Linked DNA regions of Arabidopsis thaliana. The protein of the gene in region 1 interacts with the protein of each later gene in a pairwise test. Each region holds a gene or a part of one and is shown on either strand. Other genes may lie near its edges.

Evidence for each region.
Region 2: the proteins of AGL65 (region 1) and LOV1 interact in a two-hybrid assay, tested with the Arabidopsis thaliana proteins (one large-scale study listed by BioGRID).

Annotation. Positions count from the first base shown.
Region 1 is NC_003070.9:6,459,221-6,476,105, reverse strand, and holds AGL65 (AGAMOUS-like 65), read right to left. Parts: upstream 9,440-16,885; 5' UTR 8,928-9,439; intron 8,844-8,927; 5' UTR 8,841-8,843; coding exon 8,656-8,840; intron 8,209-8,655; coding exon 8,149-8,208; intron 8,050-8,148; coding exon 8,031-8,049; intron 7,941-8,030; coding exon 7,876-7,940; intron 7,819-7,875; exon of another isoform or gene 7,809-7,818; coding exon of another isoform or gene 7,786-7,808; coding exon 7,609-7,785; intron 7,511-7,608; coding exon 7,414-7,510; intron 7,298-7,413; coding exon 7,247-7,297; intron 7,158-7,246; coding exon 7,021-7,157; intron 6,944-7,020; coding exon 6,505-6,943; coding exon of another isoform or gene 6,466-6,504; exon of another isoform or gene 6,420-6,465; coding exon 6,408-6,419; 3' UTR 6,122-6,407; downstream 1-6,121. Other genes in the region: AT1G18773 (acyl thioesterase-like protein), read right to left, coding at 452-493, 891-998, 1,087-1,158; AT1G18770 (RING/U-box superfamily protein), read left to right, coding at 2,058-2,155, 2,514-2,736; AT1G18760 (Zinc finger, C3HC4 type (RING finger) family protein), read left to right, coding at 4,282-4,956; AT1G18740 (ROH1, putative (DUF793)), read right to left, coding at 10,833-11,981; PnsB4 (NDH dependent flow 6), read right to left, coding at 13,999-14,112, 14,717-14,788, 14,877-14,932, 15,033-15,210, 15,298-15,339, 15,416-15,481; AT1G18720 (ER membrane protein, putative (DUF962)), read left to right, coding at 16,448-16,810. UniProt on the Arabidopsis thaliana protein: Probable transcription factor that forms a heterodimer with the MADS-box protein AGL104 and is involved in the regulation of pollen maturation at the late stages of pollen development and pollen tube growth.
Region 2 is NC_003071.7:638,193-655,058, reverse strand, and holds LOV1 (NAC domain containing protein 35), read right to left. Parts: upstream 7,522-16,866; 5' UTR 7,055-7,521; coding exon of another isoform or gene 7,016-7,054; coding exon 6,724-7,015; intron 6,582-6,723; exon of another isoform or gene 6,394-6,581; coding exon 6,125-6,393; intron 5,094-6,124; coding exon 4,410-5,093; 3' UTR 4,239-4,409; downstream 1-4,238. Other genes in the region: AL6 (alfin-like 6), read right to left, coding at 438-722, 797-923, 1,509-1,737, 1,919-1,951, 2,126-2,222; AT2G02455 (uncharacterized protein), read left to right, coding at 6,842-7,054; AT2G02440 (uncharacterized protein), read right to left, coding at 15,754-15,898, 16,192-16,323. UniProt on the Arabidopsis thaliana protein: Transcription factor that acts as a floral repressor. Controls flowering time by negatively regulating CONSTANS (CO) expression in a GIGANTEA (GI)-independent manner.

The DNA.
Region 1 (16,885 bases):
ATACTAAATTTTTATTAAATGATTTCACGATTTTACAGATTTTTGTTAATCTGTAAACATTTTGCTCTCGATTGGATACATCTCAAATGGTGAGAACCACGTGAGGGCTCTAACCATTTTTTAAGTTTAAATTTTGCTTTTATCAAACTTGAGAACTTGAATTGATGTCATGAAGTTTTGTCTTCTCCAATGGTGGGGTTCTTAAACAAATTTAAATTTTGTAAAACAATGCATATATGTTTGCTTTTACTCAGTACAAAACATTGAAAATGTACAATCAATCAAGAGAGTACTAGAGACATTACAACCAATGAACAACATTGCACAGAGATAGGCTATTAAAGTCGTTGCACAAGCTTGAAGTTACTTACAAGGGGAACACTGATTCGACGCCCACTCCAGCTGGCTCTCCTCCACACTTTCTATTGGAGAATCATGTTCATCACCTTCTTCAGCCTTCTTCTACATACTCTTCTCTTAATCTCAACAAGTCCTTCATATAACAAAAAGGCACTTGTTAAAATGCATATGCAGAACATAGTAAGGAACACATTATCCAACTAGCTCCAACTCTTGGCTTTCTGCTTTCAACAGCCAGTGAAAGAGAAACACATTGCAGTTATCAAAGTCTTAAATGCAATTTGTCTCTGTAGGATACAGTCCACAAAGAAGCAGAGGACACAACTCCGGGACAGACATTCTCTAGCTCAGGACACAACTCCAAACTGTAACATTAGCAAATCTGAGGACAGATCAAACACATGACTTTTGCATATCCGTAAATGATTCACAAAGTATGCTAATAACATCAAATCTGAGGATCAGTATCTGAATTCTCTGCTCTGTTATATTATCAAACATGAGTATTTGATTTGATAACTATTTCATACCTTGAATTCATAAGTCAAACCAGCTTGTTGAAGAAAAGGAAGAGCTGCTTGACCAGCTTCGAATAGTACAGCCTTTTCATCAATGCCATGAGACCACAAGACTGGTGTCTGCATATGCAAAATATGGAGAATCAGAGACCCGAAATGATTCTGCTTATTGACTGCAAACAAATACGAAATTTAAAGATTGACTAACATGTTCCATAGCAGCCTGAGCGGCGAGACTGAGCTTGAACGGCGAGAGAAGTGATATGGCCGTGGCACTCATTGCTCTCTTCAACGATTACTCTCCGACTCGGAGTCGTAAATCTCCGAGTAGGTTAACCTCGGTTCGCACGATGGAGCGGCTGTGGAGACAGAAATCTCCGGTTTGATAGCCATCGCCAGAGAGAGAGAGAGTCGAGAGATAGACACAGCGTTTTTTTCTTCTTTCGTCAATAATATTCAGCCAATCACGACATGACACGTCATCACTTTTCTCTGGTTGCAACCCACGTCAATGCTTTTTTATTTAATTTTATTCTACCCAGAGTTTTTCTTTCCCAATCCAATATTGTGATTAAAAAAAAAGAAAGGCAAATCAGATTTATGTATTTTAAAAATGAAAAATAAATAAGATAATAACAAAAAAAAATGGAATCTTTCCAAAAGAAAATCTTCTCATTTAAATTTCTTCCATCAAAATTCTCATTTAATTTGATTTATTGGGATCATTGGAGAATGTTAGTGGAAGAAACGTTTACAGAGATCAGAGAAATGAGTCTATATTAATAAAGCAAGAGCAAAAATGTGCCTATTCATAAAACCTTCCAAATAGTATAGAAATTGAAGTATTAGACACTAAGGACAAAATAGTCTTTTTAGATACCACTGGTGTTACTTACTTCTTTTGTCAGATTATGATGTTAAAAATTTAATAACTTTATTGTACTTATTTCTTTTGTCAGATTATGATGTTAAAAATTTAATAACTTTTTCCACAATGGTTACTTTTGCAAAAGACCCTATAATAAATAATATGATTCCAAATCCCACCAATATAACAAACGTAGTAGAATCCTCTACAAATAACGTCTGTGACAACAACATAAACACACAAGAACCATTTTAGAAGTTTGAGTTCTTACTTCTTCTTTTTTCATCATCATCTTCATTCTTCAATCAATCATGAAAATATATTTTAGCCACAGTATCATACGCAATCCTCAACCAGAAAACGAGGGCACAATCACAGTAAATGCAAAGATCGACGGTTACAATCCCACGTTTACTGGTTCATCTTTTGCCGAACAATTCCTTGACGAAGATAACGATGAGTGTCGATGCAAAGAATACTTCAATTACTTCTTAATGGAATCAGGAATCGGCGACGACGATACCATATTTGCACTAATAAAGTTCAGGAATCGGCGACGACGATACCATATTTGCACTAATAATGCTAAGTGAATATGCTATTGCAGTATGTGATCGTAGTAACTATTCTACGGGAGATGAGTTGCTAGTGTCCTTGCGTCTTATTCCTACCTTTCAGATTGGAGACGCGATTCCAATTGGAGAAGAGTATCAGATGGAAGAAGCGGTTCGAGCCTCGTTGGAGGAGACCAATAATATTAGTTTGAGGCCCGCAAGCAAGCTCGTGGTCAAGTCTTTAGCCAGGAAGATATACAAGATGACCACTAGTTCTACTGGTGAAATGTGCATAATTTGTTTGGAAGAGTTTAGTGAAGGAAGAAGAGTTGTTACTTTACCTTGTGGACATGACTTTGACGATGAGTGTGTCCTAAAGTGGTTTGAGACCAATCACAGTTGCCCCCTCTGTCGTTTCAAGTTGCCATATCAATGAACTAGTTTGATGCCGTCGCATGAGTCTTTTTCCGTTTTGTATCCGTGTATTTTCCGATGTAACCTCGTTCCTAACGCTCTTTGTTAACAATATCGGGTCAAACCTTCTTTGTAATGCTTTTTTAAAGTTAATTAATATAATTAATTAAATTTTAGAAAAAATAAATTAGTTTAGCAACAAAATCTGTAGATTGGATTTAGGTCAATTATTCTAATTTTCGGATTTTCTATACTATTACTTTCCTTTTTTCTTAAATTTTGGAAAACTACAACATATTCGTTTCTCATTTTGTATTGCGTATTTACCGATGTAACCTTGTTCGTAACGCTCTTAAGGATTTTTTGGTCAAAAACCCAAAAATGGGTCAAATGAGTTAGGAATACCTTTATAAATTGATTAATATAATTAATTAACTTTTTCTAATTAACTATTTTGGCATACTAATCGGAAGTCTCATAATGTTGCAAGCAGAATCGTCCGTCTTAGGTAAGAATAAGATCGTTCATCGTAGGTATGATCCACCATAAAGAATCGTTAGGTAGGAGATCACTATGTTAGAGAGAGAGTTGCACATCGTGGAGTTGTTTGTGGATTCGTACATCATAATCGCATGAGTTGCGTATAGTTAAATCTGATAGTTTGATCATAATGTGTAATTTAAGATTAGATTAAAAAAAATCTATGTACATATTTAAAAACAAAAACAAAAAGACTGTAAATTGGATTTAGGGTTTGTCACAAAAGTAGAAATTATTAACCACAACCAAATCTTACATGGGCTATACATAAAGCCCCAGAAACATTAAAGGCCCAAAAAGAGCTCAATATATCACCGCTTGTTGTTGAAGAAATTTTCGTCGGACTCCATCTTAGCCACATGTCAATAACCGTTTGAGCGTCGATTCTGGTGAAAAAATCATCACCGAGATGAATCGATCAATGGTTCATGTGTTTACCACCATCACGATGGAGGAATCTTTGTTAGACAGTATCATATAAACTCTTTTTTAATCTTAAAATTCAATTCTTTTGGCTCAAACAATATTTTGGCCAACACCTATAAAAACATTAACATATTGATATATTTATCATTCTTGTAACGTCGTAATATATGGTAGACATGACTTTGACGATGAATGTGTCCTAAACTGGTTTGAGACCAATCACGATTGTCCCCTGTGTCGTTTCAAGTTGCCATGTGAAGATCAATGAACTAGTGCGTGGTGTTGTCGCCGGGGTCTTTTTCCGTTTTGTATTTGCCGATGCAAAACACCTTTTTCCGGTTTTGTCAACAATTGTATGTGTCAAACAAGCGTAGTAACGCCGTTAGTTAGTATAATTATTTAATTAAAAGTTAAATCAGATTTCTAGTATTTAAAAATGGAAAATAATAAATATGTTGCCGACCCCATCAAAAAAATAAAATGCATGCAGAATCCTCTATAAATAACGTTGTGACAACAACATAAACGCCAGACACAAATTCCATCAACATTTTGATTTCTTATTTTATTTTTCATCATCTTCTTTTTTCTTCAATCAATCATGAGAATAGATTTCTACCACAATATCATACGCAATCATCAACCAGAAAACGCTGGCACACTCTCAGTGAATGCAAATATCGACGGTTACGACTACACATTTACTGATACATCGTTTATCGAAGAATTCCTCAACGAAGAAAACAATCAGTTTCCCACCAAACAAAAATTACATTATTTCTTGGAGGATTCAGAGCTAATTAACGATTACGATATGGAATGGGGTACTGCGATATTTGAGCTAATTTTCTATGTTGTTGCAGTAACTAATCCCGCAAGAGGTGACTATTCTCCGGGGGATGATTTGCTTGTGTCCTTGCTTATTTTTCCTAATGATGAACCGATCGAAGAAGAGTATGAGATTGAAGAAGAGGATTTGAGTGAAGAAGAGGATCAAATTGAAGAAGCGGTTCGAGCCTCCTTGGAGGAGACCAATAATATCAGTTTGAGACCCGCAAACAAGCTCGTGGTCAATTCTTTAGCCAGGAAAATATACAAGAAGACCACTAGTTCTACTGAAAGGTGCACAATTTGTTTGGAAGAGTTTAACGATGGAACAAAAGTTATGACTTTACCTTGCGGACATGAATTTGACGATGAGTGTGTCCTAACGTGGTTTGAGACTAATCATGACTGTCCACTGTGTCGTTTCAAGTTGCCATGTGAAGATCAATGAACTAGTTTGATGCTGTCGCCGGAGTCTTTTTCCGTTTTATACCCGTGTATTTTCCGATGTAACCTCATTCGTAAAGCTCTTTGTTAACAATTTTAAATTAAATATCGGGTCAAACCTTCTTTGTAATGCCTTTTTAAAATTAGTTAATATAATTAATTAAATTTTAGAAAAAATGAAATAGTTTAGAAACAAAATCTGTAGATTGAATTTAGGGATAATTATTCTAATTTTCGTATTTTCTATAGTATTCTTTTCCTTTTCTCTTAAATTTTGGAAAACTACAAATATATTCTTTTCCAGTCTTGTATTGCATATTTGCCGATGTATTCTCATTCGTAACGCTCTTTTAAGATTTTTTTTTTTGTCAACAATCCAAAACATGGATCAAATGAGCTAATAACGTCATTTTGGGTTGGTTAATATAATTAATTAACTTTTTCAATAAACTAGTTTGGCATACTAATCAAAAGTCCCAGAATGCTGCAAGCAGAACCGTTCGTTTTAGTCTTCCCTATAGAGATAAGATTGTCCATCGTAGGTAAAACATATATAAGTAAGAATCGTTAGGTAAGAGATGACAATGTTACGGAGAGAGTTGCACATCGTGGAGTTGTTCATGGGTTCGTTCATCACAATCGCATAAATTGCGTATAATTAAATCTGATAGTTTCTGGAGTTTACATGCTCTTGTTTCGGGCCTGGAGGATTAAGAGCTTCGGCCCAGAATCTCTTGATATTCAAAAAAAAAAAATGTCGATTAATTTAATTATTATGTGTAAATTAGGATTAGATTAAAAAAAATTATGTACATACTAAAAAAAAAAAAAAAAAAAGGACAGTAGATTGGATTTAGGGTTTGTCACAAGAATAGATATTATTAAGTTATTAACCATAACCAAATCTTACATGGGCTATACATAAAGCCCCAGAAACATTAAAGGCTCAAAAAGAGCCCAATATATCACCGCTTGTTGTTATAGAAATTTTTGTTGGACTCCATCCTAGCCACATGTCAATAACCGTTCGAGCGTCGATTCTGGTGAAAAAATCATCACCGAGATCAATCTATCAATGGTTCATGTGTTTATCACCGTCACAATGGAGGCACCTTTGTTATACAGTATTATATAAATTCCTTTTTTTAATCTTAAAATTCAATCCATTTGGTCTCAAACAATATATTGGCCAACACCTATAAAAACATTAATATATTGATATACTTATCATTCTTGTTAAAGGTAATATACGGTTCCTAGACAACATCTCTTATACACAAATGCCTAAAACTCCCCTGAGTATATGACACAAGCTCACACATACAAAAACATGTACACACACTCTCTCGCTGTCTACATATATATATTTATCTTAGACATTGTAGGCAATGGCTCAAACTAGTCCTTGGTCAGACATAAGTCCAGTCATCATACATACATGAGCCATGTCTTGAGTTAGTTCGGTTGCTGCAATCACCAAAGATACAGAGACATATTCAGTTTGGTGTATCATCTACCTAGATAGTTCCAATGGAGGTGTGAACACACAAACCTGGTTGTAAGAAGTCTGACCAAACATTGAATCTGGAACCCAATTTTGATGATGGTGGTGATGATGATGATGATGATCATTGACAAACATGGACTGATCATGAGGAATCTGAAAGCAGCCACCATTATTATTAGCCATGGGATCATACATTGAAGGATCTTGTTGTTGTTGTTGTTGTTGTTGCTGTTGCTGTTGTTGCAAGTTGTTCAATTCCATTTCAGATTTTATCTTTTTCTCTTGATCTTCTTCCATTCCCAAAGTAGTACCAAACGGTGTAGGATATGAATATTCCTCTCCAAGTTGTTGTAACCCCAAACAACCGTTTCCTTGTTGTTCTAACTGCTCAAACTGTTGTCCCGGGTTGCTGCATATCTGATCTTCTGGTTTCGTAGACTCAAAGAAGCAGCTTGAGTAAACGGGAATCGAACCATCCATCTCTCTGTTTGAAACCAGTACTTGAGTGAGCATTTTTATAATGAAAAGGTTTTTGAAACTGTGACTTTATTATACTCTTACCTATGGGGAAGAAAACTGGAATCACCAGGTAAGATTGTTTGCTGGTGATCATTATCAGGAAGCCAAGACATGGAGTGAGCTTCTTGCATACTACTATTACCTCCCATCGCCATAGGCAACTGTATCCCGCTGTGAAACTGCAGTAAAAGGCTTTGGCCTGGTTAAGAATATGTCCTGAGGAGAGACAAAGAGAAAGAGAGGGGAAAGGCGACAAAATGGTTATAACCTGTGTTGTTGCACATTCTATTGGCAAGAGTTGGTTCTTTCTGTAATGTTCCTGCAAAATGAATGGAAACATCTTTTGTAAACAAAATTTATATGGGTTCAGGAAACTGAAATGAATCCTGAGTCTTAGGTCTGTATGATCGAGAAAAAGAAAATATGATAACGCACCTTGTGAATCTGGATTCTTTCAATGGATTTCCTCAATGATTCTTCCAATAAATCGAGGTGCTCAGTGTTTTCTATTCTATCGATGTTCGTCCAACAACTGAAAACAGCCATTAGAAGAAAAAGACTCAAATATGATTGAAACTATATTTCAAAAAGCAAAAACTTTATAACTCAAGATACTATAAATTTTCACACCTCAACCTCCTATGACACTCCATTAGCTGAGCTTGGTAAATGGCTACTTGGTTACTTAGACCCTGTCGTGTGGTAATGTTAACACAGACTTTAGCAATTTGACTCAAAGAGATTAAAAAGTATCCAAGAAAATTCATGAACCGAAGATGGTCGATCCATACCTCAATAGTTTGATTCCTGCAGGATAAAGAAGACAACATCTCAGATATGTGAGAGGCTTACAATGACAAAATATGGTTATTAATAGTAAGAACTCACGGCAAGTACCTTGCTCCTAAAAAGTCATGTATATTTACATCATGATCCAGTTTCTTAAAAGTTTTCTTCAATGCCTGCAATTGAGCAAAACAAATCAGCTCAAATTTGTGTTTCAAAAAAAAACAAAAGTTGATGATATACACAGTGAGTTTTTATGTCTTTACTTCAAGGCTCTCCAGTTTCCTGTAATATTAAAAGAAAGAGACTTCAATTTAGGTTCATAACACAAAATTACATCAGGATTGATAGTAATTTAAATTTTCAACATAATGCTTACCATACCTTTTTGTCCTTTCTTGTGGAGTTAATTGCGCAAACTTGGAAATAACCTCTTCAATGCAACTACACAAAAGCCAAGTTAAGACTAAAATCAGTATATTGCTAAAAACTTGAATACAGAACCTCAATCTCTCATCCCTCTGAGAGATTCAGGAAGCCAAATCACTCACGAAGAACATTATCTAAGAACTGATAACAGAAAGGAAACTATAAAAAAAAAACTAGGCTCTGTTTTAGAGTCTCTAATCTCTCCCAAAGCCAAAAGCTCCCAACTAAACCAACTGGTCAAAATACCCCTTATCTGTGATCTTCTAAATACACTCACCATTCAAACTAAATCCTTATAAAAACTTTCAGTTCCTAAACCAAAATCAGTGAAACCTTTTTTGTGATAGAAGAGCAATGAGAAGATTACACAATGCATCAAAAATGGAGATATGATGCATTTAAACACAGAACTAAAGATGATAAAAGAACAACAAAACATAAGAATGATTTTGATAATTATACCTGTGTTCTCCATGGAAAGCAGTAGCTCTTCCGGTAGGGGAAAACATAAGAAGGACAATATCAATATCACACAAAATCGATAACTCTTTGGCTTTCTTCAAAATCCCATTTTTTCTCTTCGTGTATGTAACTTGCCTGTTGCTTGTGCTCTCAAGTCTTTTAATCTTCAACTTAACCCTTCCCATCCCCTGTTCAAAACCAATACAGCATCAAAATCCCATAACCAACAATGAAAATATTCTAAAGACTAAACATTTTCTTCGAATACTCACTTCAATCACCTGATAAAATTCTACTTATTGGAAGGAATTGATTGTATATTTCTCCCTATTGAGAAAATGATGAAACTTGTTTTAAAAGAAGAAGAAGAGCACCAATCTTTGAAGATGGGGGACGTCTAAATTCGGACACAGAGTCTATCTCTAGACAACAAAATTCACTGTAACGGAAGATGTTTTTTTTTTAAAAAGGGGTCTTTCGCAGCAGAAACAGAGGAAACAAAAATGGGTGTTTGCGTCGAAACAAGAGAAGAATTCATGAAAATGAGCACAGAGGAGGCGAAAGTCACAAAGAAGAGAAAGATCATGGAGGAGGAAAGAAAGAAAAAAAGGCACCAAAAAGATTTGTCCCGAGGAAGAAGAAGGAGGAAGAAAAGTTTGAATAAGAGAAAAAGGGGAAAGATTAATGGTGGAACAGAGAGAAAGCTCACAGAAGCAGACGAAGGGACAACCTTTTATTTCGCTGGGAAACTTAAGACGTCGACCAACGGAATTGTGTGCTTCTGTGCTAGAGAGAGACAAAGGTTTAACCAAACCGGTTTTGTTAATTCAATTGCCTTAAAAACCGACAAAACCAAACCGTTTTTTGTTAATTGATTAACATGTGTATTCGTTGGGCCAAAGTAGAAAGCCCATTAATATCTTTGACTTGTCTCTGCCCTAATTAGCTCCGCCTCTCTTCTTAAATACGTCTATTTATCACTTCTTGATAAACCCTAGAATTGACCCATGTTAATGTTTTGAGATTTGATCTTTTTGCAAGTTTTTTGGTTGTTTTTGTTATGTATATTTTGATTTTGATGCCTGTGATGGTGTTAAATATACTTTGAGAGATGCGTCTCTACGAAAAAAAAATCAACTCTGAGGCATTTTTTCTCTCTCTTTACACATCTGGTTTCTCTTATTTTACTGTGATCTTTGAGCTTATTAATGATTTGGTTTTGGTAGCTCTTCTAGCTTCTGATTTGATTTGGTTGCCTGATTTATGCAAGTGATGATGAAAAGACAGGGACATCAGAATCTCCTTGTTAGGAGATGAGAATGATGACTAATGTCTAGATGGGAATCTCTCTGATGCATATCTCACAGACTGTTTATCAACTTTGATCTAGTATTTTCTGTTTTGCTTCGTTTTGATACTCTTTTGGTGTCTTTTGACTAGTGCAAGTGACGATGAATAGACAGGGACATCAGAAGTTCTATAATGATGACTAATGTCTAGATGGGAATCTCTCTGATGCACATAACTAAGAATCCTTTGCTCATTATTTAACATTTTTTTGCTTGGGTATTTAGTTGGTTTTGCCAATGATGTGCCTAAACAATTGCACGTATTATCAGATTTTTCAGTGATGAATATCACTTATGTCTGAGGCAAACCGTGAATACTGTCTACAACAAATGTTTGTTCTGTTCTAATCCCTAATCATTTATTTGGATTTCATTTGAGCTCTATTTGCAGGAAGAATCACTTGCAAGAAATAAAGTAGGACGTCACAAACATGAAGCTGGACTCAAGCCAGCAGAAGATTGTGAAGATTAGATGAGAAATTTAAGGTTATGTCTAGATTTTGTATGTGCTTCATTTGAATTGTAAAACAGACCCTTTAGTTGAACCTCTTCTCTAAATAAAGATTCATTTGTTTCTTGAATGTAATCTTTCAAATTCAATGAAGTATTTGATACAACTGTTCATTGAAAAAATAACTTCAATCTAAGCAAGTAGCTACACAAAGAAGAACAGAATCACTATCAGCATCACAAAGAGAAGATGACACTTCTACACTCTTTGAGTTTCTTTTTTACAAGTGATCAAAAAGGATAAATAGAGAAAAACAAAAACAAAACAAAAAATCCAAACATGAATCATTCATCATATTCAGACAAACATGTGCAAGATCAAAGAGAATCAAGACTCTCAGTTCTGCTTCTCACAATCCGATGGAAAACTTCTCTTACTTTCCTCTCAAACGGATCCAAACCATTTCTCAAAGCTTCACGAACTTGAACAAGCTCATCAACTCTCTGTTTCACCTCAACTTCCTTGTCATCATTCAACGGGAAATGAATCGAATCGATCAATTCATTCATCAACCTCGAACTCTTCTCAATCCTATCAATCTCCTTAAGCAAACCACAACAATTCTTCCTATCTCTTCTCTTAGATTCCTCAACAATCTTATCGTGCAACGACATAACCGGAGCTGCCCATTGGAAATGCCTAGGCACAAAGAAGTTAACTTGCAATCCACGGTCTTGACAAGGAATCGCAGCTACCAAAACCCACATCACAAAAAGCAAAACCGAAGTCATTGTGTAAACCGGTACAGCTAAACCATTGCTAGCAACGACATCGTTTGGTCGAGGCGTTGCCAAGTTACTCGCTAAAGCTTGTAACTGCTTAGAAGCTGACCATGATCTTGAAACACTCCAAGAAAGAGATCTGAAATGACCAATCGAACGGTGGTGACTGTCTTTGACTCTTCCGAATGAACGGTTACGATGAGCTAGATTGGTTCCAGAAGGATGATCTTTCTCGTCAAGCATTCCGATTGCTAAATCAATCAGAGCTTTCTTAGCTCGCCGGAGCTGACCTTCTCCGATCGGACGGTGACTATCTAAAGCAGAGATCACAATATCGGCAAGTTTCTCCCATTGACGGATCTGTTCGATACCGTCGCGGATGGCGTTACAGACATCTAGAGCTTTGATGCTCCGTTCGAAGTAATCTGAAATCAAACGGTCCATCGGAGATTTAGAGATCTGAGATCGGTGGTTGAATACGATAGCTCGAAACTCTTCTTGACAACAGAGGAAAGAATCAAGAAGCTTTCCGATCCATTCGAGAGAGAGAAGGTCGTTTGAAGAAGCGTTGAGATCGATGAATTTCTCAGCGACTTGTCTTTGAAACGAATCTAGCTCAACCTCCATGGTGCTTGGCTCGTGGTGGCTACTACTTCCGGAGACGACTGTTGATGAGTCAACTTGGTCTCGCCGTAAACTTAGCAACGACCTTCCAAATGATCCTTGAAAATCCGTAGCTGGCATCCTCAAAACAGATGCAAAGTGGGAAAAACAATCAGATTTTTGTTTCTGTAGAAAATTCTCAGACTTGTAAAAAAAGAAGAAGACTTTTTTTTTCTTTGTTGGATTGAGAGAGAGTGATGATGATGATTGATGAAAGCTAGAAGAAGAAGAGATGTGTTTATAAAGCGAGAATTTTGACCGCGTATTTTAATATCTGCTTTAGAAACATTCAATATTGGATAATTTTCTCATTTTCCTTAACTAAATAAAAAGAAAGGTGTGACGAAATAAAAGCTATAATTTGATTTGTTGTGTGTTCTCATTCCTTTTTTATTTTCTCTTTTTGTTACTCGGTACAGTACACGCAGTGGACACGTCTAGTGGTAATAAAATAAAAGTACACAGATCTGTCTGTAATAAAATCTCAGTTTGAGGAAATTCATTGGTCACGGGGCTGTGGTATATGAAGTCGAGAATGAGACATTAATGGGTGCCACGTGGAGAAAATGGGAGCTGTGACAGAGACTTGGTCAATGCAATGCACATGTGGATAAAAAGCCAGCTAAGTCTTCGTTGGCGTGTATTGAAGAGAGAGATTGGTAAGTAAAGGGACTCGGTCCTGGTTGATTCTTTCTCGTCGTTCTAGAATGCTCAAGGACACAAAAATGTTGACATGTAATTTTGTCTATATCCTTTTTTTTTTTGGTTTAATGTTAAACTTTACACCAAATAAAAAAAAAGGTGTACATTGTACAATGAAAATCTCAAAAACACACCAAAAAAGGCTAATATAACATTTTATTAAAAGAGATAACTATGAGTTGTATCACAACTAATGAGGTGAATTGATAGAACCAAAGTAAAACTCAAGGAGAGAAATGCTGATAGTGATATCCTCCAGCGAGAAGGAGATGAGACGACTGCGTATAGTGCGTAACAAGAGACTCAGTAGCATGGATGGTACTAGATTCATTTGAGAAAATCGTTTTATTACGCTCATTATTAATCAGATAGATCGAGGTTTGAAGAAGGAGTTTCAAGATCTTACTTACAAAATGTGGAGGTGTGGATTGAACATTCAAGATCCACAAGGAGGCTGACGGAAACGAGATTGTCTATATAATCGTATGATAGTATAAATTTTGTGTTGAAATGTGTAATGGTGTTTTTTGGTAACCGAAAATTGAAATGTATTATTATGAAACTGTATAATGAAAAAAAATAATTATAATGGAATATGGTAAATATGTGTCATTAACAAGTCATCAATCATGTTTGGGCCAGAATTAAAATTGTACAACTATAAGAATTAATTGACACACGACAAAATACACTACATGCAGTGATGCAGATCTTTTTTTTGTTTAAATAAAAATGTTACATCATATCTCCTGTCATGTGTTCCTAACACACACACAAAAAAAAGAAATATCTGAAAATTAAACTTAAATTTGAAAAGAAAACAAAAACAATAAACCACACGTGTGGTTTACAATTACAAGCTCGAAGAGGCTTTGAAACATGGAAGCACGAAGGTTACTGACAAAGACATGACAAGCTCTCCTTCTTCACCTCTGCTAACTTATTTTTTGTTTTTAAAGATTGATTAGTTTTGGTTTTTGTCAGGTAGAATCGTGCAGAAGCGTATTTCCCGCTAATTGTTCCTCATCAGACTCACTTTCCAGTCTATACGACCAATTAATTTAGCCCCAATTGACTAAATTTTTTATACTTAAAAATAATAAATATTCACTCTGACCAACTTGCGACCGAAGAAATCAAGAAAAGCAAATTAAGATAGTTTACCAAACATAATTATTTATATTTTTAAGACATCGGATGTCGTCAACAATAAATTTCTGAAGGAGACAATTGCTCCTAACATGATCGTTCAATGATTCAGAACACAAGACAACAAAGAAGTACATAACATATATTATATATATGGAAGCTAGAGAGTATATATAATGTTGCATGACTGATATAAGAAAATATATAATGTGTATGTAAAGTGGTTTATGATTCACAAGTTAGTTTTCTACTTAGTAACAGCTTCTTCAAGCTCTCTTAAGCCACCAACCTTCTGTTCAATTTCTTCGATAAGTTCTTCACGCCATAGCTCCGCTCTTGCTTTCTCTTCTATGTCTTCTTGCTGCATCATATAACCCAAAACACAATAACAACTCTATCCAATCTTATAATAGTTGTACACATTGTGAATCTGTGATGATATACCAAAGGTCAATGGCCCGAGCAAGCCCAGCCCGACCCAACTTAGGATCAATGTTACCTACCATCAGATCTGTTAACGTTTGAATTATTATATCAAGCCCAACCCGGCTCAAACTTACTAAGCATGATTGATCTATCAATAGGATGGATCAATGTTACCTACCATCTATCAGATTGTGACTTTCGTTTAGATGATCAAGGTTGTGGATTCATATTTTTGGGTGCATATATACCAACGGTAAACGCTAACCTAAAAGCCACCTATTTTTCTTTGTTTAGGGAGGTTTATCGCATGCTGAGACACATGGAGGAGTACTCAAAACCGGCTCTGAACAGGTCTACATGGCCTACTAAGACCAAGGTGGGATAGTCTGAGGTCAAACTAGATCTGAACTGGTCCACAGGGTCTAGTAAGACCACAGCGGGTTGGTCGGTCCATTGCAACATCCCTAGTTATAATTTGTATGCATTTCTAAGTTTTTTTCTTTCTTTCCTAATAGTATTAGAAAGGGAGAGATACATACAGTTTCATAGACCCAATATCCAGTTCCATCCCCTCCATCTCCACGGTACTCCTCTGAGTCGTAGAATGGATCCTGTATTGATCCAATATCACAAAGTACTATTAAGATCCCAATGCAGCAAATGTATCAAAAGATTCAGTTTGAGTTGTTGTTTTCATACTTTTGCTGAACCGAAGTACAAACATCCCCAACAAGTGAACATGATGTAGAACATATCTGCCATATCAAGATCAATATCAAAACATAAGAAAAAGAAGAAAAAAAAGTCTAAGAAAGAAAATAAAATCTCTCAAGAAACCCCAAGTGTTTAACTTACAAACATTCTTGATAGCTTTATCACTTAGATGCCACACGTGTTTCTCTGTAATGATATCACGCATTCCTTCTATTTGTTGAACCATCACAGCCATTAATGGCAAATCATGTGGCAATGCCTTTCTTACACATAAGCTTCCTCTCATCAAATTCCTTTCCCTCTTCTCATTAACATTCTTCTAATTTTTCAAATTCTAAGACGTAAATTCACAAGAATATGGAGATTTTTTTTCTAATTTTAGTCTTAGTTAGAGAAAATTACTTACAGATAGCCAATATCCATGATTCGGTCCTGAATTCTGCTTCGGCTACAACACAATACACAATTCTTAAACTTTTTTTCGTAATGAAATATTTTTGGTAAGAATATAAAATAATATGTACCGAGTGATTGTAGGAAGAAGGAATATGAAGATTTGTGAAGGTGAAACTTGTGAAAGCTTCAGCCATTGTTACTTCTTGATGGTGGCAATGGAGAAGAAAAAAAAAAAATGTTGGTGTAATCTTTTTTATTTTTTCATTTATTTTAATCTTTAAGATTAGATTTTTTGAGGCAGAAAATGTGTGGATAAGGGAATTGGTATCGTCCACTCTTCACTTTTGTGATAAACAAAATAAAAAAATAACGTACGTTAGCAATCACATCGCATAACACTTTTTTTGTCTTTTAAAAGCCCAATTTAGACAATCACAGTACACATTTTAGCCTTCTAAAACGCTCAGGTTGGGAACAACTATTTGCCTTAAAGAGTGGTAAAGATATTTCCAGCAAAATTCAACTACAAACTTTCGTATTTTACCCGTCCAACAAACTTTCCATTCGCGCAGGTTAGCAATCACTAAACACGTTCACTCCTCTAGACGTGCAAGTTAGTAACCACACTAAAATTGCTAATAAATCTTTGGTTGGTGAAATTCAAACTTTCCGCTTATGTCTCTTCCCAAATACATCATTTGTTGAATAGCGTACGTTGGCAACTATTGCCAAACTTTTAATGATATTTCCATCTAATTCAACTTCCTATGCGCGCATGTTAGCAATCATCCCAAATACATCATTCGTTGAATAGTGTATGTTCTATTTGCCAAACTTTCAATGATGTATATCCATCTAAACCAGCTTTTATTCGCGCATGTTAGCAATCACAATAACACGTCTACTCTTCTTAGCGACTAGTATTTTGTCAAAAGTCGGAAGAAAATCTCCGGCCAAGTCAACTTCTATCGCTTTAAAAAGCGCATGTTAGCTATTAAAAAGCGCACGTTAGCATCATTTTCGGGAAATTGCTAATCAAACTTTCCACTTTCGTCTTCTTCCCGTGTATATCTTTAATCTCCTCTGTTTGGTGACTATTATCCAATTTCCACCGATCTTCTCCTCATAAAAACACCTCTTCCTCAACGAATTTTTTATCCATGAGTCGCATAATGGGATTGTTCGATCTCGAGAAACACTTCGCCTTCTACGGTGCTTACCATAGCAATCCGATCAACATTCTAATCCACATCATCTTCGTTTGGCCAATCTTCTTCTCAGTTTTACTTCTCCTCCACTCGTCGACCCCAATTTTCGACCCCTCTCAATTAGGGTTTTCTCAATCGTTGACCCTCGACGGCGTTTTGCGATTTAACGTTGGGTTTATATTCGCCTTGATTTATGCTCTGTTCTATATCGGTTTGGATAAGAAATCTGGATTTGTAGCTGCTCTTATGTGTTTCTCTTGCTGGGTTGGTTCCAGTTTTCTTGCTGTTCGACTAGGATCTTCTCTTGCCTTAAAGGTTAGATTTTTTTTCTCTAATTTCAATTTAGGGTTTTTGAAAAAACTTCATTTTTGGAGAAAATAATTGCGTAGA
Region 2 (16,866 bases), on another chromosome or scaffold:
TATGGTGATATAATCAACTTAACTACCAATCATATGAAACAAAATAAATAGCTAAATAAAAGAGAGAGTAAGATAAAAGATGAATAAAAAGACTACATAACGACATAATAGTTTTTACAATTTTAGCAAATTACTAATCAGAAAAAAAAAAAAAAAATTACTAATCAGAACTAAAATATCTTAAACAGACCAAACAAATTAGTAGTAGAATTAACATTAACAACAACAAAAATCCAAAAAAAGAAAAGAAAAGACATCACCAACTGTAGATAGTCTCAATCCAACAATAAAGACTAAGCAATACAATTTTTTTTTTTACCTGCTTACATCTTCTAAGTCCCTTTTACTGGCATTTCTTATAAACTGGAAACTTCACCTTCTTCTTTCATAATTTTCTCCTAACTCGCTTTACCTTTTCATAATTTGGTTATTTAACTTCAAGGTCTAGCTCTCTTGTTACTGCAAGTTGGGCATTTGTAATGCTTGATGTGTTCTGCTTTTGCAGGTGTTATCTTCACACATTTTCCATGGAACCATTTCTCACACGCGTCGCAGCAAATCCAGAACTCATCTGTACCGTAGTTGTCTCCACAAGCACCACAAACCGCACCTTGTTCATCGTCTTCACTCTCATCTTCACTCTCATCTTCTTCTTCTTCTTCTTCTTTTGGCGGTGGAGATGACATCTTTGCAACCTTTGAGAGAGATTCGGATTGGCGAGACTGTTTGTGAGGAATACAAAGAGATAAAACTTAGCAGAGATTGATAAAACAAAATGGTGAAACAGAAGAGATACCTTGACGCCACTAGGTTTGCTTTTGCTATTATTGTTGTTAACAGATAGATCCTTGGACTGCTTTGCATTGCCGCTCACAACTTCGAAAATGGTTGGCAGCTCATTAATCATCTGGAACAGCCTCTTCCTGAAAAAGAATCGGTCCATGGCATAAGCTTAAAGGCAAGTGATAGCTAAGTTGTTCAAACAAACCTAATGCCAGAGAAGAATTTGATGAGATTCAGAATCAACAACTCATTCTGCTCAAGCTTTTCGTTTAACCTGTCAGCTACCAGTATCAAATAATGGATTCAGTGATTGTTGCTGAGCTCTCAACAAAGGTACAATGCAGTGGAAACTACCTAGGCTAATTACAGTGATCCTGCACAAGACTAATACAAGAAGTACTAATCAGACTTAGAGGCACATATCACATCTATTGACTAATATATCTATCTCAATAACATTGATCCAGATTGGTGCGATTCATAACTCTAGTCACTTCAAAATAGAAACTGGGAACCACTTACAAAAAGAGTTACACAGAAACCGACCCTATAAATAAGATCACGTGAGTTACAAAAATCCACACAGAGATTGTTGTATCAGACAAATAGACAAAACAAGAGGATGCTAGAATGATCATTATAACCTTACCACACATGAGTACACCCAATATTGTCATAATTGAGATGCAACACTCAAAAACACTGAGCTTGAGAAGGACCCTTACCTCTCATTCTTGCCAAATCCGAAACGTGCACCAAAGTAAAATGCAACAGAAAGCAGCCATGAATCACTGTGAACTGCGACCAAAGATACCCAGTCCTTTTCTTGCATTCCGTCTCTAGCGAAATTGATGCCTAAAGCTGGTTCAGGAAGCTCAGGAGGAACTTCCTCAACGGGTAGATTAACCTCCCATGTCTCATTTGGAAGTCCATAGAGACACAAATTCTCCTTCTCTACATAAACAAGAATGAAACACCTTAAAGAAAAACCACACAGAGGAGGACTAACTAACTCAATCTTTAACCAACACAATTCAACAACATACAAGCTCAACAACTTCAACAAAACATTTCACTAGAAACTATAGAAGCTAAGCAAGACTAATTTTTTAAAAGTTGTGAAGAAATAACTCACCAGGATCACACGTTTGGTAAAACTTCACCATATCTGCATAAACAAAACACAAAACCCAGAATCGTCAAATCTCACAAAAGAAACCCAAAATAAAAAAAGTTCTTCTTTTTTAACAAATGAAAAACCCAAATGCCACAAAATCGTAACTCTGTAGATACTTATCATTCTGATTCGCAAGTGAGAAACAAGAATCAGACCAAAACTGACCATTAGTGAGAGCTTTAATAAGACCAGCTCGTCGACCTCTGAAGTCGCTAAAGACCTCTTCAACAGTACGAGGTATTGGATGAGTAATTCCCTCCATTTCACAAACGATGTCGCCGGAGAAATCGCCGGAGAATATGAGTACTCCGGTCAAAATCAAAATCTGAGACAAATGTTTCCAGGCAAACAAAAGAAACCCAGAAGGAAAAATATTCACTTTGGGGTTTCGGATTTGGAGAAATGAAATTTGTAAATCTCTGAAAGAGAGAGTTTTTTTTTAATTTGGGGGAAATTGAGAAAAGAAAAAAAGAGAAAGGAGCTACAAACCCTAAAACGATAAAACAAAAGGGACCGATCAAAGATTAATTTTGGGGCTGAGAAGTAATATTAATAAAGACAACATTGTCTATTTTATTATTTTTGTATTAATTAAATAAAGACAACATTGTGTATTTTATTATTGTTTATGTAATAATATAAAATCTATTTATTAATTCCGATCTACATACCCTATTTTTTTCCGAGCTACATTCCCCACTCCCAAATTTTACATTATTTTTATTTTGGTCAAAGACATTTATTTAAATTTTATTTTATTTTTAAAAGTGTCGACGAAAAAAACATGTATTTTTTTTTTTTAACATATTCATTTCCATTAATATTACGAAAAAAAAACATGTTTTTATACGTAGGCTGAGGCATCCAAATTGATCCACAAATTTGGTTTTTGTTTTCAATTAACTTGACCTTAAAGATAAAAGTTAAAAGTTAAAACATTCAGGTCCATCTTGTATTGTACAGAAATAGCATGCCTGGCCCATTAAAGGATAGTGGGCTTTTATAGTAACCTAGGGGAAATGAGATTTGAAGTTTTCAACGATCATCACATTCACGTATTTTGAAAGTTTTTTTCACGATATACACCAGAAATAGATATTTTGAAAGAGAAAGCTACTAAAAAACGGAAAACATTTTGCCTTTTATCACTCAAAAAAATAAAAAATTCATCAAATTTTTAATTATTTTATTGTTTTTATGTGTGATTCTAGATGTAAGAATTAAGAAACGAACCAATATTAATCGGATTCGTTATCTTTGAATATTTTTGCGTTAAGCACGTCGTACTAGCTAGCGAATACGTTTACCGCAACTGTAATCTAATTCGTCACAGAATATCAATGATGTGGTATAATCAACTATAATCTTCTTTTTTCTTTGGGCAAAATCAACTATAATCTATGAATATATACTTACTAATATAGGTGATAGACATATATTATTTAAAATAATCTAAGAAAACATGCAAATACGGTTACATCGACCGGTTAGAAAGGGAAAAAACTTTAAAATTAGTACTTTCGTATCATATTCAAGTCAGTATATATTAGGATTTTGCCACATTACATATATTATTAAAGATTGTTAATAATTAGGATTAAAAAGACTAGTATGAGAGTTAAGTCAAGTTTAAATTTGTTTTTCTCATTGAGAAAAAGGGAACTGATTTCTTACAACATACAACTGTTCATGCTGGTCATATCTGACAAAATCACGGGAACAACTGCTCTTACCAAATATTGCACGTCCTATGCTTTTTTTTTTTGTCAAACCCTAATTAGTCTTATATTTACAAAGACAAAAAACTAGCTAACATCTTTTATCTTTATATATTTCTATCTCAAAATTAGTTGTTGAATTCTTAAGAGTTAGTGGATTGTTTATCTATAAAGTCGCACTAACAGGTAACTAAAATTAAACATCTTGGATCTAATGCATGTAAATGACAATGCAAAATGAATTCTAATAAGTGATGAATAAACAACAAAAAATATCAACATTCAATTTGAAATTTTGAAATGGAATGAAGACCAAATTAAATATCACTAGGTTGGATTTACGGTTACTATTGTTATGGTTTAGTTAGTGTTTGGTTTTAGTCTGGTTTCGGTTAGGGCTCGTACATGAAAATCTAATCCAATAAGTTTATTTCTTCTTTGGTTTGTTTGAGAACTTTTGATACGGATTGCACTCCTTAGTCATTTTGTATTCATATATTACAGTGAATTTTTTTTTTTTAACTACGTTGAATCTAGCTTAAAGAAATTAACTTTAACACAAGAAAAAAAAAACTACTTAATTGACTATATATGTTGAGAATCAGTTCCATTACATAAACTCGCAGTAATCAATCATTGTCTATCGCCATAACAATATATAAGGAGTATGAAAATATGGCAAAGCAGCATTAATAATTATTGTCATGGATAATAATCATGATCTAATTAAATTACTTAAAAGGAATATTAGTATAGTGATCTCTGTTTCCATCTGGTACTATTGGATTCCACATATCCCACAAAGCATTGTTTGGAATCGTTCCTGCAGGAATCATGTTCATAGCTAACGCCGCTTGAGTTTGAGGCATTAGCGTTGTCGCTGTAGTCGCCGCAGCCACCAATTGTAATGCGTTTGCGTTAGCATTTTGTTGTTGAGTATGATGAAACTGTTGAGCAATTTGAAAGTATTGGTGATTGATGTTACCTCCATCTGATATTTGGTAGTTAACTAGTCTTTGAAGATCGTCAACAATGGCAGTTTCATCATCGTCTTGATGATTTCTCGTAGAGACTATCAATGTGTTGTTGCTTGTGTCGTAAGGCATTGGACGATATATGTTTTGATTGGCTAGAGCAATGGTAACGTCAGAGTTACTGTTTGTGGTCGTTGTTGTTGTGCTGCCGTCGCCGGAATATTCGGTGGAGAGCTTCTCGAGATTGTTGATGTTGTTGTTGTTGTTAAGGTTGTTGTCGGAATGATTAGAGGAGGATGAATGGTGTTGTTGTTGTCTTAAGGCTAAACGGGATGATGTCGATGAGTTATGGTTATGATGTCTTGTGGAGAGAGAACGTGGTACCGATGGATGATCTTCTACTCCTGGCCTTTTGTACACTCGGCACAATGATATTTCAGCCTATAATTATACATGAGCACATTGATTAGAGACTTGATACATATATCAAATTATCAAATATAGACTAACAATATCTATGAAAAATATCATTTATCGAAGATATGGTTTTGAAAGAAGATTCACAAACTATGTAAAGTTAGCATTAGCAAAAAAAGATAGCACGTTTAGAAGAAATTTAGAGTACTATCATATGACGTAACAATGCAAATATAATTAAGATGATTATATTTATTATTTTTTATATATTTAATTGCGTAATTTTAGTTTTATTAGTACAAGTGAATGTGCAATACATACACATAGATAATTATGTCAACCCTGTTGTTTTAGCTGTCTTATGCATACATCATAATATCATATATATACATAGAAAATTTTATAAATTTATGGTTTCAAATGGTGACGACATATAAGTCGAAAGAGCCCAAAAAATGTATTTATCTATCCATTGTCATTTTCCGTATACATAATATTTTTTCGGTCTACTCCATAAACCGTTATCATTCGTATAGATTTTAAATGTTCGCATATAAATATGTTGGTATAATTCATATATGCCAAATTATTTCAAAAAATGTTGGGTAACTTAAATAGAAGACATGAATTAATGTGAGGAAGAGCAGGAACATTCATGTCATAAATTGTAAGAAAAACTAACTATGTCTCTGCAGAATTAAGGTATATGAATGTCGAGTGTGATACTTGTGTGTTTATATATATGTGTATGCATCTATCTATTAATGTATTCTACTATAACATATGGGCCATGTCTAGCAATTTAAAGAGTTCACGCATATGACATGAACATTTTTCTGGATTTAAGCGCAAACGCCGCCTGACATTTAGTCCATTCACAAGTATTTTTGATCTTATCGAATCAATTCCAAAATAAATAAATAAAACTAGTCAAAAAAGAAAAAATTCAAACTGTCTAGGGATTAATTTCAATTTTAAAGGCCTCACCACCTAGCTAGGGTTATATCTATGTATGTATGAATAGGATATATATAGAGTTATAGTAGAATTTATACCTTTTGGTACTTCTCGGTTTCATGGTGCGGAAGACGATACTCGTTCATGATCCAACTAGTACGAGTGCCTTTAGGGGCTTTACCAGAGTAGAAAACTAGGGTTTTCTTTAATCCGATAGGCCGAGAAGTCTCCGATCTGATCATCCTATCAGCTCCGGTGGCTTTCCAATATCCTGAAGTCGTTACTCGGTTCGGTCTATCTCCATTTCTATATTTCCGATCTCTTGGCACATAGAAGTACCACTCTTTCTCTCCTATCGCCGCCATAGCTGCATATACATATATCTATGATTAAACATACATAAGCTAATTATGAAAACATACACATATTTGTATATCTTATGATATATATGTAGGTTGTTTAATTAGGTTAATTTAAGAAAGAAACTAAAGAGGGAGAAGCGTTTAAAGATATTGAGAATTGTTAACGATCGACATAGTAATACTTCATAAGGAGGTAGGTACATATATAGGTTAAAAAAAAAGAAATAGAGAGAGAAAGTGATAAGAGAGAAGAAAGATCTTAACATATGAATAGAAATTAAGATTTCCAAATAGTTTGAGATGATTTATGTGTGTTTATGTGAATGTATATTTACCAGGAAGTTCCCAAGGATCATAGCGATAAAGATCGAGGAAAGTGATGAGTTCTACATTAAAGCGTTTGCCTTCAACTTTTCGGCGAAGGTAAAACTCTATGAGTTCTTCTTCGGTAGGATGGAATCTAAATCCGGGCATGACCATGTCATGATCATGATCATCAGCTTCATCTTCATTTTGGACATGACTCTCTTGGCCGCCTCTATGATCATTGTCTTCTATACCTTTTTCGTTATTGTTGACTTGGTTACTCATGGGAATGATGCTTGTTGTGGAGGATACAATTGCCATATATCAAAAAGACTAGATATGTGTATGCATGTGGATTAAGGTGATATATGATGATGAAAAGTGATTAAGGGTTTGCTTGGTTTTTATACTAACAATGGAAGGGAAAAAGAGAGATGAAATTGAGTGGTGTTGAGTAGAGATAAGAGGAGGAGAAGAAGAAGAGAGGACGACTATATAGGAATGAAACGTCATCGTTTTTGGGAGTTGAGACCAAACTAGAATAAGACAAAGAGAGAGAAGAAGAGAGTTAAGGAGGAGACAAAGACTTGTCAAATTGAGGACAGGGTGTCCACGGTTTTGTTTTCTTAGCCGTGCCTTTGGACCTTTCTCTCACTCTCCATTTCTAGCTTTTTGTTTCAAAATAAAATAAAATATCTATCTATTAGTTTTATGTATTTTTTCTAAATACTAAAGTTTCAAATATTTAATAATTATTGGGTTGTAACACAAATGAAAAGAACAGTTGATATCTTTTACAGGAAAAATTAAAGTTTATGTATTATAAACGAAAAAATATTTTGAAACAATATTACGAATTGACATCTTTCAAATGGATGTCATGGACCTCATGGTTACTAGTTCAATTATACTTGGAAAAAATAATAATTAATGTTTTAAATGCAATATCAACAATTGGTGTGGACATACGAAAAATATAGACCGAAAGTCTAAAATTCCCAAAAACTATCATTCTTAGAAAAAATATATCATGGTTTTCTTTATAGTTTTATTTGCACATGCACCATCTCATGCACGTTAAAGATTCATTAGTTTTAGTTAGGTATATGATTGGTATTTTATAAAGACAATCTAAACTTTAGAGAATAACAAATTAAGTTGATTTCATGTATAATTTATGTGTAAATAGTCTATATTTTGTTTTGGTTTTTGTTCCAATCCATCGCTACAAAAATTGCGAAAGTGTAACTAATCTAATTCTCCTGATCAAGGCATAGCGATAAAGGATCCATAATAATTCATTGTTATAGGTAGACTAATTGAATAACGGATATTCTTAAAACAATGTTAAAAATTTGGATTATTATAGTTAATTTATTCATCGTTGAGACAAAGAATTCTGATTGGTGGCCTATATTACTAATTAAATAATAATATCACGTATGCTTACTATGTCACTCGTCATAAATATATTTACGTGTTTTTCATATGCTTCAGCTTCACGAACGTTCTCTTATTGTTTCGCTATTTTTTTTATGATATATTTGGCCCACCATATCTTCATTGCATGATACTACTATGTCTTCAATTATGAATGCAAAACAAACTGACCATGATTTTGCCAACGCTCTCCATGTTCCTATGACTTAGTAAGAAGCTGAACTTACAGTACATATGTTAGAATTTAGAAACCCGCCAGTTCTTTAAAATTTGTATTAATATATATAGATACAATATATTATATTTAGATATATGTATCTATAATCTATATGTATAATTGTTCCATTTTATTAATAATTCAAAAAAGTAAATAAGATATAGACACAAAACAATAAACATCGTAACAACATTAGCATATATATATATATATATAGCTGAGCTAAAAAGGCTAGGCAAACTGTAATATATTTAAGTTCATCATGGAAAGATAGATAAAATATATACTAAGTACAAATTTCATACTTACAAGTTTATATGGAAAAATGAATTTAAAGTATCAACGTAAATGAGATAATGAATGAAATTAAAGTGAGGTGGTAGTGGGGCTTCTACGAAACGAGAGTGGGGTTTTTAGAAACCTTACTCTACGTTGTAATGACTTCATATTTTATATTTTTATTTTGTCAAATGTTTCAATGGATGTCATGGACTTCATATTTTTTAGAAATCCGTGAATGCATATATCTCATTCACAACAAATTTCATTGGATTGAGCTCAGTGTAGACAGACATTTTTCAATATGGATGTCGCGTACCAAAAAAGCTTATGAAACGTGGAAAAGATAAACTATTCAACAACCATTAATTAGACCATTGCGATATCAGAAAATGAACTTTTTTGTGTTGTTAATTCGAATCTTCGTCAAGAAAATTATCTAGTTACATGATTTTTTTTGTTTTTATGTTTAAACAATTTATAATATATTTACTACGAACTAATCAAATAGTAAATCAGTAGACATACACATATTTCAAAAATTATTATACCAGTTTAGTTTACATAAATGTATAGCTTTTGGATATATATTTAAGGTTTTCATTAAAATGAATGTAGGTATGAAAGGAAATATTATGTATGACATGGAATCATAGGCATGGACCCTTCGAATATTGATATCAGTAAAAATATAAAATGGCGATAGAAATTAGGAATTAAATGTATTATAAGAGAGTTTAAAAGTAGATTAAGCTAGTGCATAATTTAATGCAAGCGAGTCTTCCATCGGTTTGGCTTTTAGCTAGGGGTAGCAAGTAGGGTGGCGGATATTATATAATGTACATTCCAGAAGATTAAATCATTTTTTCAGTTTAAAGTTTTTGCAATTGTAAAAAATTAAGACCTTTTAATTTTAATTCGAAAAGAACATATATTTCTATTATTATATATATGACATATTATTAACTTATATTTTGTCTTCTGATTATTACATTTTCACATGAGTTTGTCTTCGTTAAAGTTTTAATTATTATATACTATTGTACATATACAGCATAATAGCAACTCAGCAAGGGATTACTTTGAAAGTCTTAGAATCTTCAAGCTTACTATTTGGCTAAATATGCAATATATATACACGCCATTAGTTTGTGCTTTAGCAATTGATTTAACCAAGCTGTAAGAAGATAATTCGTCTGGTAATTGTTGTACCATTACTCTGTAAACTTTGGGTTGTACTCTTCATTTTTTCTTGCTGTAAAAAGAAAAAAAAAACACCTAAAGCATGTAAAATTCTCATATTGCTTTAAACCAAAACAAAAAAGGAAAGATACAAAACGTGGTGAGAAAATATAATATAGTTATAGAAGTTGTGAATTTTAGAAGGGACACACTATATACACTTGAGTCTGATTGGAAAACAAATGTTATAAAAGTGCATAATAGCTGTAAGAATTTCCTACCGATCATACTTTTGCTTAAATCAATTATAATATGAAACGAGGAAAAATTTAAAGCGGGTTCGAGAACAAGAATTTAAGGATTTGAAATAGGATGATGCTAGAATAGGTCCAGTAATAAAACCCCTAAAAGTCTTATGCGATCACTATCACAAGTCTTGTCCTAACTAAAATAACACTTTTAACCAATTATCGATTCGTTTTTGCCCAGAATAGAATTTAATTGGATTTGGTTACCATCATTACAATTTCATTGGTCATCAGTTTTTGTAGTTAGGTGATTTTAGTTTACTTTTACAAGTAATAATTGAACTTTAGTATTTCATTATTCCACCAACTTTATTATTATATACTAGTATAATAGGCACACTCTTATGATTATTGACCCTTCTTTTTCGCAATAATAAATATATTTCAGATTGTTTTGGGATGTATCTAGATTCCAATGACATGTATGGACAGATTGTTTTAATATAAAAAAAGTATATGCTCTCCAAATCAAGATTTGGATCGTATCTTTTACATTCTTGTGTGCTATTAATTATTAAACTTTCGATAACTTAATAAAACAGAAATTTGAATCGGTTAACCAACAACACTATCTCGTTTCTCATCAAATCGTGTACTTAAAATAATTAAATTTATAGTGATAATATAATTTGGATATTAGATTTTATGTAATCCACAAACATCATTTTCAAATTAATACTATATTAGTATATTAGTCAAACTTATTAAGTTTATATTGAGTATCCTTCACTATCAAATCTCTCTTACTTTTTTTTTTTCTTTTCTCTTTTTGGGATAATCTCTTACTAGAATGTTGTAGTTAAAAGAGACATTTTTAACTTCCAATAAAATCATTCATATTTAGCTTTTGTTGGTTGAACCAATGACTATGTTAATAAGACTATATTTTTCCTCGTGATTGGCTATATTTGTCCTGGTCTCACGTAGTCGGAAAATATCTAGAACAGTAACTGATTTTTCTTCATAGGTATTTAGATATCTTATGTTCAGAGAAATTACCAAAGAGCCTCTACACATATATACCGTATGTAACTATGTACTGTGAAAAACGAGCAAAATAAATCATATTATTTAGATTAAAAGATTATGGTGGGAGTTAAAATACTTTCATGAGTTACTTACTAATGATTTAAGTTTTGCTAAGAGACTCTTGTTGGTAGAAACTTTCTGTAAGGTTTTAATCATAATTAAAACAATATATTGTTGATCATAATCTAAAATGGATTTTTCGTTTCAATTTTAAAGTCAATCATACTGTAATTGCATCATGTTTATGATTGTTTTTTTAAATTCTAAAACGCAACTGTTGTAACAAAAAAAAACTTCACTAAATACATGATATTGACTCTACTTTAGGGTAGAAATATGTCAATATAAGATCGTGTAAATTACACACACAATCCTGTCTTGGGAGCCACAGGCATTTCGTGGACTTGGCCTTCTTGGCGGTTGTCAACCCTTTCTCTTGGCTCTTTTTGCATTTACTCAATTGTTTGTATTTTTATGTATTAATTAATATCTTACATATATGTCCCATTTCACTTTCATATTTTTTTTGCATATCTCACATTTGGGTTTCCATATCCAAAACGAAATATCCTTCTATGAGTTATGAATAGTTACGTCACATACAAGAATTACCTATTCGTCTAACTGATTTTGAAAGTTTCATAAATGAGCCATTTAAACTGATGAAATGCTTCCTTAAATGCTCAAGCGAAAGAATTTACAAGATAATAAATTTACAGCCACACAAAAAAAATAAAAAAAAATATTCTACATTTTAAGAAAAGAGAAAAAATGAAATACAGTATATATTTATGCTCAATAGCCAATAGGTGACGCCAACGTCTTATATCATCATGAGCCGGCCTATGAATACAAAGGCATCGTCCATGATTGATAAGATATTTGCAAGTTGTTAGAAAATGATAGGAGGAAAACTAAAATTAAGGTATTATTGGACAAACAAATATAGGGATAATATAATTATATAAACTATTTTCAAGCTGATTAAATAGTTAACTAAGCTCCAAAAGTATGTTTCTTAATTTTTTCTTACAATAAAGATAAGTTTTTCCTCTCTGTGTTTTTTGTTTTTGTCAATTCCTCTCGGTGCTTCTTATTATAACATTTTTACTCTATATCACCACAACACGAGTCAAAAGCCAATATTAATATATTTCAAGCTGATCTCCAGACTTATATACACGGGATATAAATCTCTGGTATCAATCAGTTGCAACTTGCAATATATAGTGCTAAAATTCTACAAGATAATTAAACTGTGTATAATTACCACTAATGTAAACAATGAAACTAAATTGGTAATTATAAATTTAGAAAGAAAAACGAAAACCTGAAGATTTTATGAATGATAGAAATATTAAATTAAATAATTATTTCACGTTGAAACGATATGTTAAAAGGTATGAAAGTGAAAAGATTGGTATGTCAAACAATAAATAAACCAAAATATGGGTTTTTTTGAGGGATGGCTATTCTATAGAATAAAACCAACCAAATTGCATGGAAGAATAAGACCGACGTACAATTTTATGTTTATCTTGTGTGTGTGTTGTATGGACCGCCCAGCCAATAATGCAGCCACAAGTTGATCGAAGAATGATTTGTCTTCATTTACACAAAATTACAAAATTTAACTTTTATTTTAATTTTAATTGTGGGGACAAAACTTAATGCATGAAAATGACGTATGTCGCATCTCTTCTACGATCCATTCCTTCAAAATAAAAATACTTTTGATAGGTAACGATATTTTCATTCATATAGAGAATCTCAAGAATTTGTTTGGACCGACCAGGCAGCATGACCTCGTGGAGATCCGAGAGCTAAGTCCATTAATGAAAAATTTTTGAACGTTAGATTGCGATGATAAATGTTTCTATAAATTCTATAGAGTTCATTAGTGGAAATTTATGAAATTTGTTTTGTTGTATCGCTTTTATAAACGTACGCGAGTACATTGATGAAATGGATTTGAAAAAAACGTTATGTTCAACAAACGAATCAAAGTCTTCTCTAAAATAATTAAGAAATTAAGTCTATTGGTTTGGTGATGTCAAAATGTCGAGAACTCGAGACTGAAAGTTCAAAAACATAGAGAAGAAAACGAAGAGTATGAGCGTGACCTCATGGAAATGGATAAATGACGTAGGAAGATCTAATCGGACGATAGACAACAAGACAAGAGGCCCACCAGCACCGTCGGATTTAATGAGGATGGGGTTAATGAAAAAAATGCTTGACTCTCTGACTAGACGGACCCAGGACTCGACTCTGACAGTCCGTTGACTCTCTGACTTTAAAAGTAATTTGATTACACATATCTACCAGAAATGTGTTTTTCCCTTTTTTAATAACAACAAACCAACTTCTCGTTGAGTATTTTTTACCAAATTCATTTTAGATCTAGAGTTCTCCTCCAAGAATCACGCTGTAGGGGACCTTCTTATCTTAGTTCTTTTCATAAGAATCGACACAACTACGTGTATATCTCCACAAATATCCTGAAGAGACAAATAATATTAGACATACTATAAGACTAAACAAAGAGAGCAAGGCTTCGAATAGTAACCAAACCGCACAGTGCGGTGCGTTTCAAATAGTAACAAAATTCTTTATATATATATATATATATATATATATATTTTTTTTTTTGTTATTATTTGAACCGCACCGCACTTTATCTGCAATTAAACCGCACGTCTCCATTCGAAATCTAAGACTATTTTGCAATGGATCTACGAGTTGATTTTGTTATCCAACAATATAAATATTATCTAAATCAATTCTAAATTTAGTTTTAAGAACTTATATCTCGATTCAAAATGTTTGTTCTCATTGATGGTAAACGTTCTAAATTTTTTGAATGGAGTGTCCATTAAGTTTGTTAGAACTAATAAAGTGAAATAAATAAGAAGTACTATTAGGACATATAATGGTCGGAGAAGTCGGGCCATGAAATGTCTCTTTGTAGGACAAAAGATAAATAAATGACAAGGCGGATATCTCGTGAATCTCTTCGTCTGTTTCTTCCGTTGACTTAATTTTATTAATTATCACCAAAATAATTTCTCTTATTTTGTACGTTTTTTCGTAAATTTATTTCTGTAATGTTTCCATGTTCTTTTTGATCTATTATTCTCTGTTTATCGTCACTTCTCTCGTACATCCGATCCATCTTCTGTTCTGTCATGATGATATATCTTTACGTGTGTGTAACTTTGTCTATACACGTGTTTTTATATATGGAAGTTTTTTATTGAAAGTCAACGTGTTCTAAACGACAATTTTAACTTTTTTTTTCTGTGTATTTCTGTATATATAGCTTATATATGGATTCGTGTATTTTTGTGCATTATTGAAATCTCTCACGGACCTCATCTTCTTATTAAGGTCAACGAGTCTTGGAAATAATAGAAGCAAACGAAAACTGGATCATCAAGGAATATTGTTTTTGATTTTTTATGTACTTCAATTCATCTTTAATTAATGTTAGAAAGATGAATTAACTTGTAATTCTAACTTACCGTTTATAGAGTAAGTTATATTTTGAGAACGATCAAACTTGTAATTCTAATTAATTTCATTTATTTATTTTAAGATCGTTGAGATTTAAAATATAAAATTTTAGTCTAAAACTAAATAATCGAAAAATATATATTAATTTATACATAAGATTAGATGGTTGAGCCTCATATATAATATAAATGATAATATGATAATGATATGATAACAAAATCATCTATATAAAAATAATAAATTAAAAGCATTAAATAAAAAATACGTTGATTTAAATCATCCATGTTAAAATAATAATTTAAAATACTAAATACAATATGGTAATTAAAATCATCCATGTTAAAACTGTGAATTAGAGTATTAAATGAAATATGGTGATTAAAATCATCCTTAGAAACAAGAAGTAAATTATGATGATTAAAACTGTCTATATTAAAAAGTTAAAAACAATAAATAAGATGGTGCGTTAAACAACCACATAAAAGCATTATATTTATAAAGGGCGTTAGAGCCACGCTCCGATAAAAATATAGATTAACGTGGCCGAGTGATGATGCTAATAACATGTTGTAATTTAATAGAATTTTGTATCGTAAGTTATCTATCAATTTTTTTTTTTCATGTTCTAAAGGGAATAATAATAAATATACTATAAGAGAAAGAAATATGAGAAGGAAAGCAATCATGAAAAAAGAGTAATAATAGAAAAAAGCTTTACGTTGGTTTTCTTTGTATGAAGATGAATGTTTTTACAACTGAATGAAAGAGCAAATATATAACACAAAAAATACAAAAATATTACAATAAGTGATAAATGATAAATTAAATGAGCTCCATATAATATTTGTTACGCAAGTCTTTTTTTTTACTTTTGCAACATGAATATTATTATTACTCTCATTCTTCTTCTCACAGCTCTTTTTTTATATTAAAAATATAAAAAACAGAGTATAAACGAAAGAACAAAGCCGTTGAGTCGTCGCATTTTTGATCGCCACACTTGGGTTCAAATTTTCTACGCCTTGCTGTGCTCCATACTGATTACCCTTTTCATTATTCCTCCACTCTGTTTCATGCTCTAAGAGACTCTATGGCTTATGATCAGTCGTCTTCGTACTCTGATTCTCCGCCATCAAAGCTTCCGTGTCCGGTTTTTTATCAGTCGTCTTTGTACTTTGATCCTCTGTCAACATATAATTCTCACTGTCACCACCGTCGCCTCGACCTTCAATTCTATGATATGAGGTTCCGAATTATGACCCTACTGGTTATGATCTGCTGATTTATAAACCATGGTCTCTATCATATGAGACTATATTATATTAGCCAATGTACCTAGTTTTTGAAATTTCAAATTTATATCTACATTTTTGGTCTTTTTTTTGAATTTATATATTTTCTTAAATTTTGCTTATGTTTTGTTTATTTTCTTATCAATTTAATTTATTTTCTTTTTCTCATAATGTTTTGTTGCCTAATTAAGCTTTTTCTTTCTAAAAAATTGGTTTTATCAAGCTCTTATTCACCTAAGGAAGACATGCACAATCACCACGAATATCACAGCAATGATCACCAAGGAGAAAAGGTCTACACCACCACCAAATAGACTATGGGGATTGGCACTTACAAACTTTTTGGGTTTGGGTTTGGATGATGAGCTGCCGAGCAAATACGACAGTAAAGTCCATAATTGAAACCAAAAAAACAATGAAAATTAAAAAACCCAATGAAAATGGGCTGCCCGGTTAACCCATTCTCAAAGCATTCCATATATAAAAGAAAATATCAGTTTAGAACACGTTGAATGCTTTGAAATTATCCACTTTGGCATTAGAAGTGTCTAAGTTTTATCTTTTGATTTGATTGAGCAAAGCTGAAAATGGTTTAATACGTGAGGTTTTTGTGATCTTGCAATATAACAGGAACTTACAAAGGTTTTTTTTATTGATGTTGCAGCATGGATCTTGAGTTTATGAATGAGGAAGATGCTGAGGCTGAAATAAATTTGGAAGAGACACAAGTCCAAGAAGCCGAGTCAAGTGATACTGAAATCTCAAATTTATATCTATAATTTTTGTTTTTTTTTTTCCATTTGTTTCTTATGTTTTGCTTACTTTTTATCAATTTAATTTACTTTTTTTTTTATCATAAATTTTTGTTAACCGAGTCGTATCAGTTTCACCAGACTTGTTTTCCACTGC